Mus musculus: one gene and its partners. The protein of the gene in region 1 purifies or fractionates together with the protein of each later gene. This does not show direct contact. Links are inferred from orthologs where the notes say so. Each region holds a gene or a part of one and is shown in the gene's direction. Other genes may lie near its edges.

Region 1 (3,646 bases):
TAAGCTAACAGAATGAAATATATTGGTTCTTTAAAAGTCATGTAGCCAGGTGGCATAGTGGCACACACCTTTGATCCCAGCACTCAGGATAAGGTCAGGTGGACATCTGTGAGTTCCAGTACAGAGACCCTAACTCAAAAACAAACAAACAAAAAGCATGCAGTATGCTAGGATGTAATATCTGTGTGATGTCCCAGGAGAAGCTGTGGAGTAACTGAGGCCGCAGTGGGTGCTGTGTACTTGATTGCGTGGGGGTTCTCGTACATTCGGCAAGGATATTCTAAGGCCCTAATTCTTTTTCAGAACTCCACAAGCATGTCGAGTTTGATTTCCTTATCAAGGGCCAGTTTCTTCGAGTGCCCTTGGTCAAACACATGGAACTGGAGAACATTTCATCGGTAAGTCCGAGCACTGCTTCTATTTGATTTAACGCATTACAAAATATTATATTATGAGTGAATCCGTATGGAATTAGTTTAAATTGTTTTCAACATTTAGGAGTCTTAGAAAACATTTTAAAATTGTATTTACTTATTGATTGATTGATTGATTGATGGTATGATATGGTATGGTATGTGTAGCTGCCATAACCTGTGTGTGAAGGTAAGGAGATATTTGGTGAGAATCCGTTCTCTTCTGTGGGTCCCAGGGATTGAACTCAGGACCTCAGGCTTCCCAGCAAGCGCCTTTGACCACTCACCAGAAACTTGAATTTATGTTTCTATATAGTCATCTTGTAGAGCTCCTCTAAGAGTATTTTATTCAAGAAAATGCAAAGGAGTTGATACAGTCTTTAAGTCTGTGAAAGCATTAGTAAGAAAAGGAATAAGTATATGTATACTGCTAAACAGGAGTACAGCATAATTGCACATCTTAGAAAATGTGGGTTAGATTACAGTGATTGTGATACCTCCCCTGTAATTTTTTAGTTTTCCTTGATGTTTTTTTAATTAAGAATATCAGAGGCTGTAGAGATGGATAAGCAGTTCTAAGAACACTGACTGCTCTTCCCAAGGTCCTGAGTTCAATTCTCAGCAACCACATGGTGGCTCACAACCATCTATAATGGAATTTGATGCTCTCTTCTGGTGTGTCTGAAGACAGCGACAGTGTACTCATATAAATAAATCATTTTTTTTTAAAAAAGAATATCACTAGGAGTTAGACAAATGGCTCAGTGGTTAAGAGCACTGTCTGCTCTTTGAGAGGTTCTGGGCTCAGTTCCCAGCACCCATGTTGTGACTAACAGTTGTCAGTAACAGTCCCAGGGGATCTGACTCTCTCTTTGGGCCTTCCTGGATACTGTATACACATGATAGACATACATGCAGGCAAAACACCCATACACACAAAATAAATAAAATCTAAACCAAAAAGAATACAGCTATAAGTAATGGTACCATCCCAGCACTCAAGAGGCAGAACTAGGCAGGTCTCTGTAAGCTCATTGCCAGCCTGGTCTATGTTATGAGTTCTGGGCCAACCTGGCTATATAGTGAGACCCTGTCAAGGAGGGTGGGGGGAGAGATTTGGAGCCATCAAGATGGCTCACTGAGTAAAGTCGCTGGCTACAAAGCCTGATGTTGACCTGAGTTCCTCTCTAGGATCCGCATAGTAGAAGGAGAGAACCAACTCCTACAAGTTATCCGCTGACCTCCACTGTGGAATGCATGGATGCGTGCAAACACACAAAATAGATTAATGTAATAAAATTGTTTAAAATATAATTTGTAATTGTTTATAAAATCTTGTGATTTTAAGATATTATAGAATATAAGAGCATACTTAACATTTTAGCCAGTCTTTGCAGGGGGAGGGGGCACGGGGGTGCAGGGGGTATGGGGGAGTGTCAAGACAGGCCATTCTGTAACTTGCACTGTGGACCAAGCCAGTCTTGAACTCAGAAATCAGCTGCCTCTGCCTCCCAAGTACTAAGATTAAGGGGTATACCACCACACCAAGCTGAAATCTTAACTTTTAAATGGCTCCCATATTTTCTGTCTTCAAGGTAATATTTTAAAACTGTCCCTGACTTATTTTCTACTCTCTCTGTGACTAGGAAGAGGTTGTGGAACTAGAATATGTGGAAAAGTACACCGCACCCCAGCCAGAGCAGTGCATGTTCCATGATGACTGGATCAGCTCAATTGAAGGGGCAGAAGAATGGTATGCCGTGGGGATATGCTGTTCTCTTCTGTACCTCCTTCAGTCTTTGCCATGCACCATGTGACTACTTCTCTGGTCTCTTTTTCTTCATAAAAATAAATCCAAGCTGTGTATGTTGGTGGCCACACCAAATTGGCTTTTTTGCAGCCAGTGTATTCAAGAAAACAAGTGTTTATTAGTAGGTTTCTTTGTTTCAAAATGTTGTGGCATGACCTTTATAGTCTATATAAGTCAGCAGATATTGATATTTAAGACCAGAGATATCTTCATGGAAGAGAAAATTTAATTTTTTATAGCTATCCCTGCCTGCTACCATGAAGTTGCAGACATACTACTGTAGAGCCAACATGGGCAGCCTGCTGTCAAAGAGGTATGAATGCTAATCTTAGAGCAAATACCTACAGCTGATCATCATCCTAACTGGTAGCTTACTTCTGGCCTTCATTTTATTAGGTATTTTGCTTTGTGAAGTGTGTGTGTGTGTGTGTGTGTGTGTGTGTGTGTGTGTGTCAGTCATGGTCGTGCCATTGTACATGTGTGTAAAACATGTGGCAGAAAACAACTCTATCAAGTTGGGTCTCACCTTCCACCTTCATGTGGGTTCTGGGCACTGATCTCAGGCCATTGGGTTTTGCAGCAAGTGCTTTACTGCTTAGCCATCTTGGAACTCCCTATGTAGACTAGGCTAGCCTTGAACTCAGAGAACTCGTGCTTCTGTCTTCCAAGTGTTGGGATTAAAGGTGTACTACTATGCTAGACATCAAACCCAGAGGCTTCTGCTTGCTGGGCAAGTATTCCACCACTGAGCTACATCCCCACCCGTGTTTTTGCTCTTTAATAGTTTTCAGGGATTAAGGATTGTTAGGCTTTATAAGCAGATTGTATTGCATTGGTGACATTTTCAGTTTTACAGTAACAAAGGTGAAATACCATATTTTAGTATAACATCTGACCTATTGCTTTGCTTTGAAATCTTGTTCTTCATAAAAAGAAGGGTTTACTGTTCATAGTTTACTTTGTCATTGCCATAGAAAGGATTGGTTTTCAGGGCTTCAAAGTCATTCTGTATTTTATAGCATTTTCCCCTCATTGTAGGATCCTGTCTGGTTCTTATGATAAGACTTCTCGGATCTGGTCCTTGGAAGGAAAGTCGATAATGACAATTGTGGGACATACAGATGTTGTGAAAGATGTGGCTTGGGTGAAAAAAGGTAAGATTCTACATAAAAAGAATTTAAGAGTTTAAAATTGAACTAATTTTAGTGTAGCAAAAGAGTGATTGGGTAAGAAATGCTTCAAGCCTTAGTTGCTATGAGGTCTCTCAGAAATAGAAAGAAAGGATTATATATTTTAAGATTTACTTATTTAACTTTATGTGTCTGAGTATTTGCTGCATGCATTCACGTGTGTAAAGTGTTCATGCCTGGTGTCACGAATCCCCTTTAGAGAAGCAGTCAGTGCCCTTAACCACTGAGCTGTT
Region 2 (3,646 bases), on another chromosome or scaffold:
CTGTTTGGCATTCTTGAGCTGAGGGGCCTGTTGGCCCAGGCAAACAGGTATGACCAGTTTCAGAAAGCATTGAGAAGACCCTGCCCCATGTTCATCCTCCATAGAGGAGATGCTCAGAGGCCCTGGCCGAAGCCTCATTGGTCCCTTCTTCCAGGTGTTTGTTCGGAAGCTCCGCAAAGCCTATGGAAAGAGCGAATGGAATGCTGTGGAGCGCCTGAAGGACAATAAACCCTGCTACAAACTTGACCACATTGTCAAGGAGCGGTGAGTCCTGCACCTCAGAATGCTGCTGTTGCTGCTGAGTGCTGTCCTAGTGTTAGGGATGAAATGGGCTCAAGACCAGCACTTGACTGATAGTGCATGTCCTCTTAGAGGAGTTAGACCAAAAGCCAAGCTAGCAATCAGTCCTGATTGTAAGTAGCATTGGTTACAGTAAGGGTTGTAAGGCAGCATGGAGAGGGCTTAGGTGTATGGTACAATTGCATACTCAGAGAGGTGTCTGCAAAATGACCTATTTGGGGCAGCCAGGAATACACTTCATGAGCAGAGACAGCAGTACCTTCAAAGGCCCCATGGTGGAAGAGCTGGAGCCACTAGTTCCCATACTACAGACTTAGAAAGCATGGTAAGAGAGGTCTGGTCTTAACTGTTTCTTGCTCAGCCTTCCAAAGACCCCTCCCAGTCACTAGCTGATCAGTGACTTCTGCCTTTTCTGGGGAATTGGGCAAATGCCTGAAGACCCTTGTAGTTCCTACAGTTTGGATGGAAGCCAGCATTGGTGCTAAATATTCTTCAGTGTTCATAATAGTTTCCACAACACTTTGGCCTGGAACTAATTAAGTGTAGAACTACTAGGCTATTATCTCTGTTCTGTGCAGTGGTCTAGGCACACTTAGTTCCAGAATGAAGGGGCCTAGCTTCCTTCCTGGGATCTGGAGGGCCTTGGCCTGGAAGATAACAGTTGGTATCAGGAACTGGATGCCAGAGGACAGGAACTCCTGAGCAAGTACACGTTACTAACAGACATTTTGGTAGCTCCTGTCCTGCCTATGACATGACCTTTATATGGAAGAGATAGTGGGTGTGAATGAACCCAGAACAAGCACCTGGGTTCATTCACAAAGCAAAAAGTCTCCTTTACCAGAACCAAAGCCGGGTGGTCTAGAAGAGGCGTGTGCTTGACCTACAAAGGGCCTGGGGTGTTAGCTTTGTCTACAGAGTAGAAAGTTAGGAAACTTTGAGGCACCAAGGGGGCTGAAGAAGGATGCTTCCTCTGCCTCAGGAACCTAGGAAGCTGTCCCATCACCTGCCAGGTCCCTAAGGCTTCCCTTCATCTCTGCCTGCTTTTGAAGTCCTGGCAGCCCTCTCAGTTGTCGTAAGCAGTGTTGCCTGTGCCCTTCAGAGCCCTTTATAACATGGCAGGGCAATCTTAGTTGTTGTTGTTAAAGACAGGGTTTCTCTGGAGTTCTGGAACTTGCTCTGTAGACCATGCTGACCTAAAAAAATCTGCCCTGCCTCCCAAGTGCTGGAATTAAAGGTTTGAATGGTTTTTTGAGACAGGGTCTCACTAGCTCTGACTATCCTGAAATTCATTGGCCTCCAGCTCCCAGAGATCGCCCTCCCTCCCTCCCTCCCTCGCTCCCTCCTTCCCTCCCTCGCTCCCTCCCAAATGCTGGGATTAAAGGTGTGCTCCAGCACACCTGGAAAGACCTTTTCTCCCAGTGAGCCTTCCTAGACTGTGGTTTAGATGCTGGCAGCTCTGGGGATGCCGAGCTTGAGGAGGGAAACTGAGTCCTGCATATTTGTCTTTACTCGGTGTGTTTAGAGCCACAAGAGGTGGGTGGATTGGTGGTTTGATTTTTGAGATAAGATCTTATAGTGTAACCTAAGCTAGCCTGGAACTCAGGATACTTCTGCCTCAGTCTCCCAAGTGCCAGGACTGCAGGTGTGCACCACCACAGCTGCTTAAAGACACCGTATTTTAAGTCATTTTTGTTCAGCAGTGCCTTTTTCTAGATAAAGCTGGAGTTAGATGAGGCCTAGTGACCCAGTTAGGGTCACAGCTCAGTTCAGGTACCACGACTTGAGATGGAGTGTCTTTTGTGTCCCACACTTCTGTCCCTTTTTTTGGAAACCACCAAAGCAGTTGTGCTTTGACACCTTTTGAGACAGGTAAGACCCTATCTCAAAAAATCATTCAATCCCAGCACTCTTGCCCAAGTGATACTTTGTCTGCTTCTTCACTCACCACGGCGATCCTGGAAATCCGTGATTACTCTAACTGGACAGGGTCCCAGTTAGAGATGGATCTGTCAGATACATGCATCGGACTGCTGAGAAACGGGAAGACAAGACCACCCAGGTGCCAGTGCGCCTGGGGAAGGAAGCCCACTTTCCCTGGCCTACTAGGTCGACTTCCCGTTTTTCCTTTTTCTCTGTGGGCCTTTCCAGTTTCAAGTAGAGTCAAAGAGCCATCAACTTGGTGTCCTCGTTCACAGAAGGTAACATGGGGAAGGTTCCTGAGGTCCCAAGAGTTCACTGGAACTTTCTAGTTTTCAGTGGCTACAGGATTGTTTGCAGATGCATGGCCAGCTGTGGGAAAGTTGTTGCTATCACCATCTGAGGAAGTAGCTGTGGCAGTGCCTAGCTTGGGTGTCAAGGCCTCTGGATAGAGGGCCTTGGAACCCAATGGAGTGGGCATGAATGCTGCCCTCTCCACCCTGCAGGTACCCCACATTTATCGATGCTCTGCGGGACCTCGATGATGCCCTGTCAATGTGCTTCCTCTTCTCCACCTTCCCTCGGACTGGCAAGTGTCATGTGCAGACCATTCAGTTGTGCCGTAGGCTCACTGTGGAGTTCCTGCACTATGTCATCACTGCCCGAGCCCTGCGCAAGGTGAGCTGAGGCTCTTCTGGGGAGCCCTGGTCCTGCCCTGTCACTCCTTGGCTTTCATGCTGTTCTCCCTCCCTCCCCAGGTCTTCCTGTCCATTAAAGGCATTTATTATCAGGCTGAGGTGCTGGGTCAGCCCATCGTATGGATTGCACCCTATGCTTTCTCCCATGATGTAAGTGTGCCTGTTGGCAGGGCTTTGTGCTGTTTCCTGGAAAGGTGTTGGTGGGGTGCTGTCTTGGAGTCTAGCCCTTGCTTGGTTCCTGATTATTGGCAGCTACGCGTGATGAGAGCCAGGGACAGAATAGGGACTATGCTCTACAGCCCAGTCGGTCAATAACCCTGATCAGTCACAGTTCTCAGTGTGATATGAGCATAGACGCATAGGCTAAGCCTGACTGTCCACTCCAGCACCCCTGCTAGAGCAGTGCTTCTCAGCCTTCCCGACACTGCCATTCTTTAACAGGCTTCCTCATGCTGTGGTGACCCCAACCATAAAGTTATCTTTGTTGCTACTCCATAACTAAATTCACTGTTATAAATCATAATGTAAATATCTGATATGAATATGGTCTTAGGTTACCCACACATTGAGAACCGCTGTGCTAAATGGTCTTGGACATGTTCCTTCACCTTCTGCTTCAGTTAATATGCTACCATCTTCTCAGCCTTGCCATGAGGACTTCAGGGAAAAGAAGTCTTGAAAGAGCCTGGTTCTGAATGGTAGCAGCCTTTGTGCTTACATGGCAGTAA
Region 3 (4,413 bases), on another chromosome or scaffold:
GGAAAGATAGAAAGGTAAGATCATACTCTCTGCCCAGGTGTATGAAATCCAGGACAGGCTGTGAACTGAATATGGCATTCAGGAAAACAACGCGGCCCACGGATAGCCCATGGGATAATCACAAAGACCGTCTCGTGAAAAGTGAAGTTCCGTGCTTTCTAGTCTTCTCTTTATTCCCAAAACACCCTTTAGGCAGAGCAGAGTTTAAACAAACAGGCAACTGAGAGCCAGAAGCCTTGGCCTCCATCTGCCACCCAGGCCTTTTCTCCATTCTTGCCAGCTTAAGAAACTTGTGCGAGGGGGCAGTGCTCCGCAGAGACCGAGAGACCCGCCAGATTTGGCTTGCAGAAGGTCAAGGTGGTGGCACCTAGCCGCCTCCATCCCTCCAAAGGTTCCCATTGAATCAGGGTGGCCTGTCTTCAGGCCACCACCATCGGCTAGCTCTGCGCGCTCTGGCCCTCAGAATCCACATGTGAACAGCAGATTCTACTTTCCAACTTAACACAAACACGGAACGACCTCTGCAAGCCAGCCAGAGATGCAGGGCCAGCAGGGTGTGCGGTGTACACAGTCCGCTGCCAGGCAACAGAACAGGGTTCGACACGGCCCTTGGAGGGCCGGGCAAAACTGCTCTGGCGTCTGGAGACTATCGGGGCTGAGCTTAGGCTCCACATCCTCCTATTCTCGCTCTTCTCTCATGCATTCCTTAGGCCTTCCACTTATTCTGAATGATTGCCTAAAAAGCAGAAACGCAGACGGACTCTGGGAACTATTTCTCTGTGAGCAAAGACCCTGTACTGGAAGCCCCGTCCTTATTGTCCGGGTGAAATGTAGGATGATTTGGGGTCTCGGCCTACTCTCCGTGAGTGGCTCTGGGGGCGGGGCGCACTTCCTCCCCAGACAGCGGCGTCCTCCCTCTAGGATGCCAGGATGGCTGAACCCGGGCGAGCCCGACTAACTCGCAGGCCGCTTTCTCCGAAGCAGGTCCCCTCCCGCCACAGGACCCTCCCTCGAAGGCCGCTCCGGCCCATGCCAGCTCCTACCGGGCTCCAGCAGATGAGCGCGTCTGTGTCCGGGTCGCTCACGAGGGTCCACAGCTTGGTTAGGAAGGCCGGGACGTTGCTGGGCCCCGCTGCACCGGGGCCCACGGCCAGATCCATCTCGGACGAAAGCAGGCAGAGGCTGGGGTGGCCTTTTAGAAGAGTGGCTGAAGGCTGAGCTAGTGTCGTCGCTGCCCCTGCCGTCCGGGCCGCTCCGCCGCCCGCTGCGCACACACAGCAAGGCCTCGCATGGCCGCAGCCATCTTGCGACCGGCGCGCTCTCGCTAGGGCCAGACCTGTAGCCTCTGTGCGCAGGCGCCGTGATCTCCCCTGCCTACTTTGCCGGCCCAGCCCTTGCGCCGCACCCTACGCCTGCGCAAGATGGCTTCACCCGGGCTGCTCACCAATCAGAGCCTGGTAGGGCGGAGCCTGGCTGGGGGCACACGAGGCGCTCCCGCTGCCGGAAGCGGCAGTAGATCGGTAGCCGGCGCGGCGCAGCATGGCGGGGGCGTGTGGTAAGCCCCACATGTCACCGGCATCGCTGCCGGGGAAACGACGTTTGGAACCTGATCAGGAGCTGCAGATACAAGAGGTAACTTCCAAGTAGCGGACAGCATCCCTCTGGGAACCATGCAGGCACTTGGCAAGACCAGGGAGGCCGGGCCGTGGCGCAGCGTGTAGTGTCGTGTGGGTCGCCTAGAGCCTGATCGTCCAGTCTGGGCTGTTATTTTGGAACTCTCAGCAGAACATTACTTGCGCCGAGGGGCGCTGGAACCCGGGGGATAGTTCTGTGGCTTGAACCGTGTTAAGGGAGAGACCTTTAAGAGTCCCCTCACCATAGTCTCTGGACCTTCCATCTGTGCTTCCTGTCCTGGGAAAGGTTGTAATTGCGCTCGTGCTGTGCTACCAAGCCAGCATGTCAGGTGTGTTGTGAATCAAAAGAGGACTTGAGATTATGGAAGTCTGATTGGAACCCAGGGCATCCAGAACTGGTTGTCATGGAACCATTGCTAGTCCATGTTGCTAAGCTCAGTAGGCTTGCTACATTCATCAAATGTAGGTGGTAGAAGGCATGCACAGCTGACTCCACTGAATTGGATCCTCAAAGTTCTCAACTTTCCTAATGCTGTGGCCCTTTTAATACGGTTCCTCGTGTTGCGGTGATTTCCCAACTACAAAATCATTTTCGCTGCTACTTCATAACTGTAATTTTGCCGGGTGGTGGTGGCACACGCCTTTAATCCCAGCACTTGGGAGGCAGAGGCAGGTGGATTTCTGAGTTCGAGGCCAGTCTGGTCTACAAAGTGAGTGCCAGGACAGCCAGGGCTACACAGAGAAACCCTGTCTCGAAAAAACCAAAAAGAAAACATAACTGTAATTTTGCTACTGTTATGAATCGTAATTATTTGATATGCAGGATAGTCTATGAAAGGGTTGCTCGCCCCAGAGGGATTGTGACCCACTGGTTGAGAACCACTACGTAAGTTGTCCCTTTGTTTTATGAAACGCCCCTAAGCTTTTCCCTCTGTGTAGTTCTAGGCAGTAAGCCTTTAATAGTCAGTTGTTTATGCCCTAACTGCGTGCAGTACTTTTACTTGTTAGTATGACAAGTAGCGTAGTTTTAGAGATGTCAATAATAAGAGAATGTCAGTGTGACATCTATGGAAACTCAGGTGATCACTGTGATGATTGGCAGCGAAGGCCACTCAGGTAGACAAGAACTAGCCAGCGGCATTGGCACCCATCTTTAATCCCAGCACTCAGAAGACAGAGACAGATGACCTCCGTTAGTTCGAGGTCAGCTTGGTCTACAGTGTGAGTACTAGGTGCAGTCACATGCTTCCTCCAGTGTTCAAGTACTTGTTCAACTTTTGGAGGTCAGTGATAGAAAACTGTTCACAATGCTTGAATGTCTTATTGTGTTCGTTGTAAAGTGGCCTCTAGGGCTGTACTCACAGGATTCTCTGTTCAAAAAAAAAAAAAAAAAGACAGCAGATGGTTTGTTTGTCTGGCACTGGGATGAAACACCAAGACCAAGGCACCTTATCAAAGGAAGAGCTTACTTGGAAGCTTGCTTGCAGTTTTAGCGGGTTGGTCCTTGACCACCATGGCAGAGAGTATTGTGCTGGAGCAGCAATTAAGAGCTTCTCTTATATCTTGATGAGCTGGGAGAGAGGAAGAGGGAGGGATTCTAGGCTTGATGTGGATTTTTGAAGCCTCAGAGCCCACGCCCAGTGACCTACCAACGCCTCCTAATTTTTCTTCAGCAATCCATCCCCTGGGAACCAAACATTCAAATGTATGAGCGTATAGGGGGGTGGGGGGCTCTTGTCATTCAAACCAACACATAGGCTTATCTTGCTAATCTTCAGCTTTCCGACTTGTCCGTCAGGGCTTGGTCCTGGTCGTCAGGGTAAAGAAGCCTCCTGTTGCAGCTGGTCAGAGCCTCCAGGGAGTTCTAATCCCCCCCAGGCCCAGGGTCCCATTCCAAGCTGGTGTCAGTTTCAGGACCCTTAGGTGACAGTAGGGTGTGGAGTGTGTCCGTGGAGGAAACTTGGTTTTGGTGGCACAGTGAGAAGAAACTGATCCCCACAAAGCCAGTGTGTTCTTGAAAGGTTCCCTCTGTTTGTTGCACGGCTCTGGGGACTGGTGTGTCTGCTCCGAGGGCAGGTTCTGTCCACAGAGGCAGGAGAGGAGGAGGGTTCCAGGCCGGGTGAGTGGTTTCGGCGCAGACGGAAGTGTGTGACCAGAGGCACCTGCTTCCAGGTGGCAGTTATTAAACCCTCTGATTCCTTGCAGCCTCCTCTCCTCAGCGATCCTGACTCCAGTCTCTCTGACAGCGAGGAGAGTGTGTTTTCAGGCCTCGAAGATTTGGGCAGTGACTCGAGTGAGGAAGACACTGAAGGAGTGGCCGGATCCAGCGGTGACGAAGACAACCATAGGGCAGAGGAGACCTCTGAGGAGCTGGCACAGGTGGGTGAGGGACCAGCTTCCATGGGCTCTCCTGCACATGAGGATGGCCAGAAAGAGGAAGTGCCTGCCTGGGAGCTGTCCGCTTCACACTGTCCCCTTCGTGGTGTCCTCGGGAACCTGGTCCTCTATCCGTCCCTCGTCACACATTTGAGCTCCAGGGTTTGTAACCTCAGTTGTCTGTGCCTTTCCTGAGAATGACGAATGCCCACGTGCTCATGTCTTTGCTCGTCAGACAATTCTCAGACCACCTCTATGGGACAACGGGCTGACACTGGTCTAGGGATCGTCTTGAGTTTTCTAGAGACAGAGCCTGAGATGGGATGCTCCTGCTAGGGGTGCCAGTGGTACGTGTTTGCGAGGGAGGATGTTCAGCAGAAAAAGCAGGAGAGACCAGAGGCCA

Evidence for each region.
Region 2: the proteins of Wdr12 (region 1) and Pes1 purify together in Homo sapiens (co-immunoprecipitation; 7 studies listed by BioGRID and IntAct, counting the BioPlex papers as one, with this or other methods). This does not show direct contact. The link is inferred for Mus musculus from reciprocal best matches to the Homo sapiens genes WDR12 and PES1.
Region 3: the proteins of Wdr12 (region 1) and Bop1 purify together in Homo sapiens (affinity purification with western blotting; 6 studies listed by BioGRID and IntAct, with this or other methods). This does not show direct contact. The link is inferred for Mus musculus from reciprocal best matches to the Homo sapiens genes WDR12 and BOP1.

Annotation. Positions count from the first base shown.
Region 1 is NC_000067.6:60,087,772-60,091,417, reverse strand, and holds part of Wdr12 (ribosome biogenesis protein WDR12), read left to right. Parts: intron 1-303; coding exon 304-398; intron 399-2,059; coding exon 2,060-2,166; intron 2,167-3,261; coding exon 3,262-3,377; intron 3,378-3,646.
Region 2 is NC_000077.6:3,970,471-3,974,116, forward strand, and holds part of Pes1 (pescadillo homolog), read left to right. Parts: intron 1-154; coding exon 155-264; intron 265-2,726; coding exon 2,727-2,898; intron 2,899-2,978; coding exon 2,979-3,068; intron 3,069-3,646. UniProt on the Homo sapiens protein: Component of the PeBoW complex, which is required for maturation of 28S and 5.8S ribosomal RNAs and formation of the 60S ribosome.
Region 3 is NC_000081.6:76,474,348-76,478,760, reverse strand, and holds the start of Bop1 (ribosome biogenesis protein BOP1), read left to right. Parts: upstream 1-1,511; 5' UTR 1,512-1,539; coding exon 1,540-1,632; intron 1,633-3,839; coding exon 3,840-4,013; intron 4,014-4,413. Other genes in the region: Hsf1 (heat shock factor protein 1), read right to left, coding at 1,044-1,160. UniProt on the Homo sapiens protein: Component of the PeBoW complex, which is required for maturation of 28S and 5.8S ribosomal RNAs and formation of the 60S ribosome.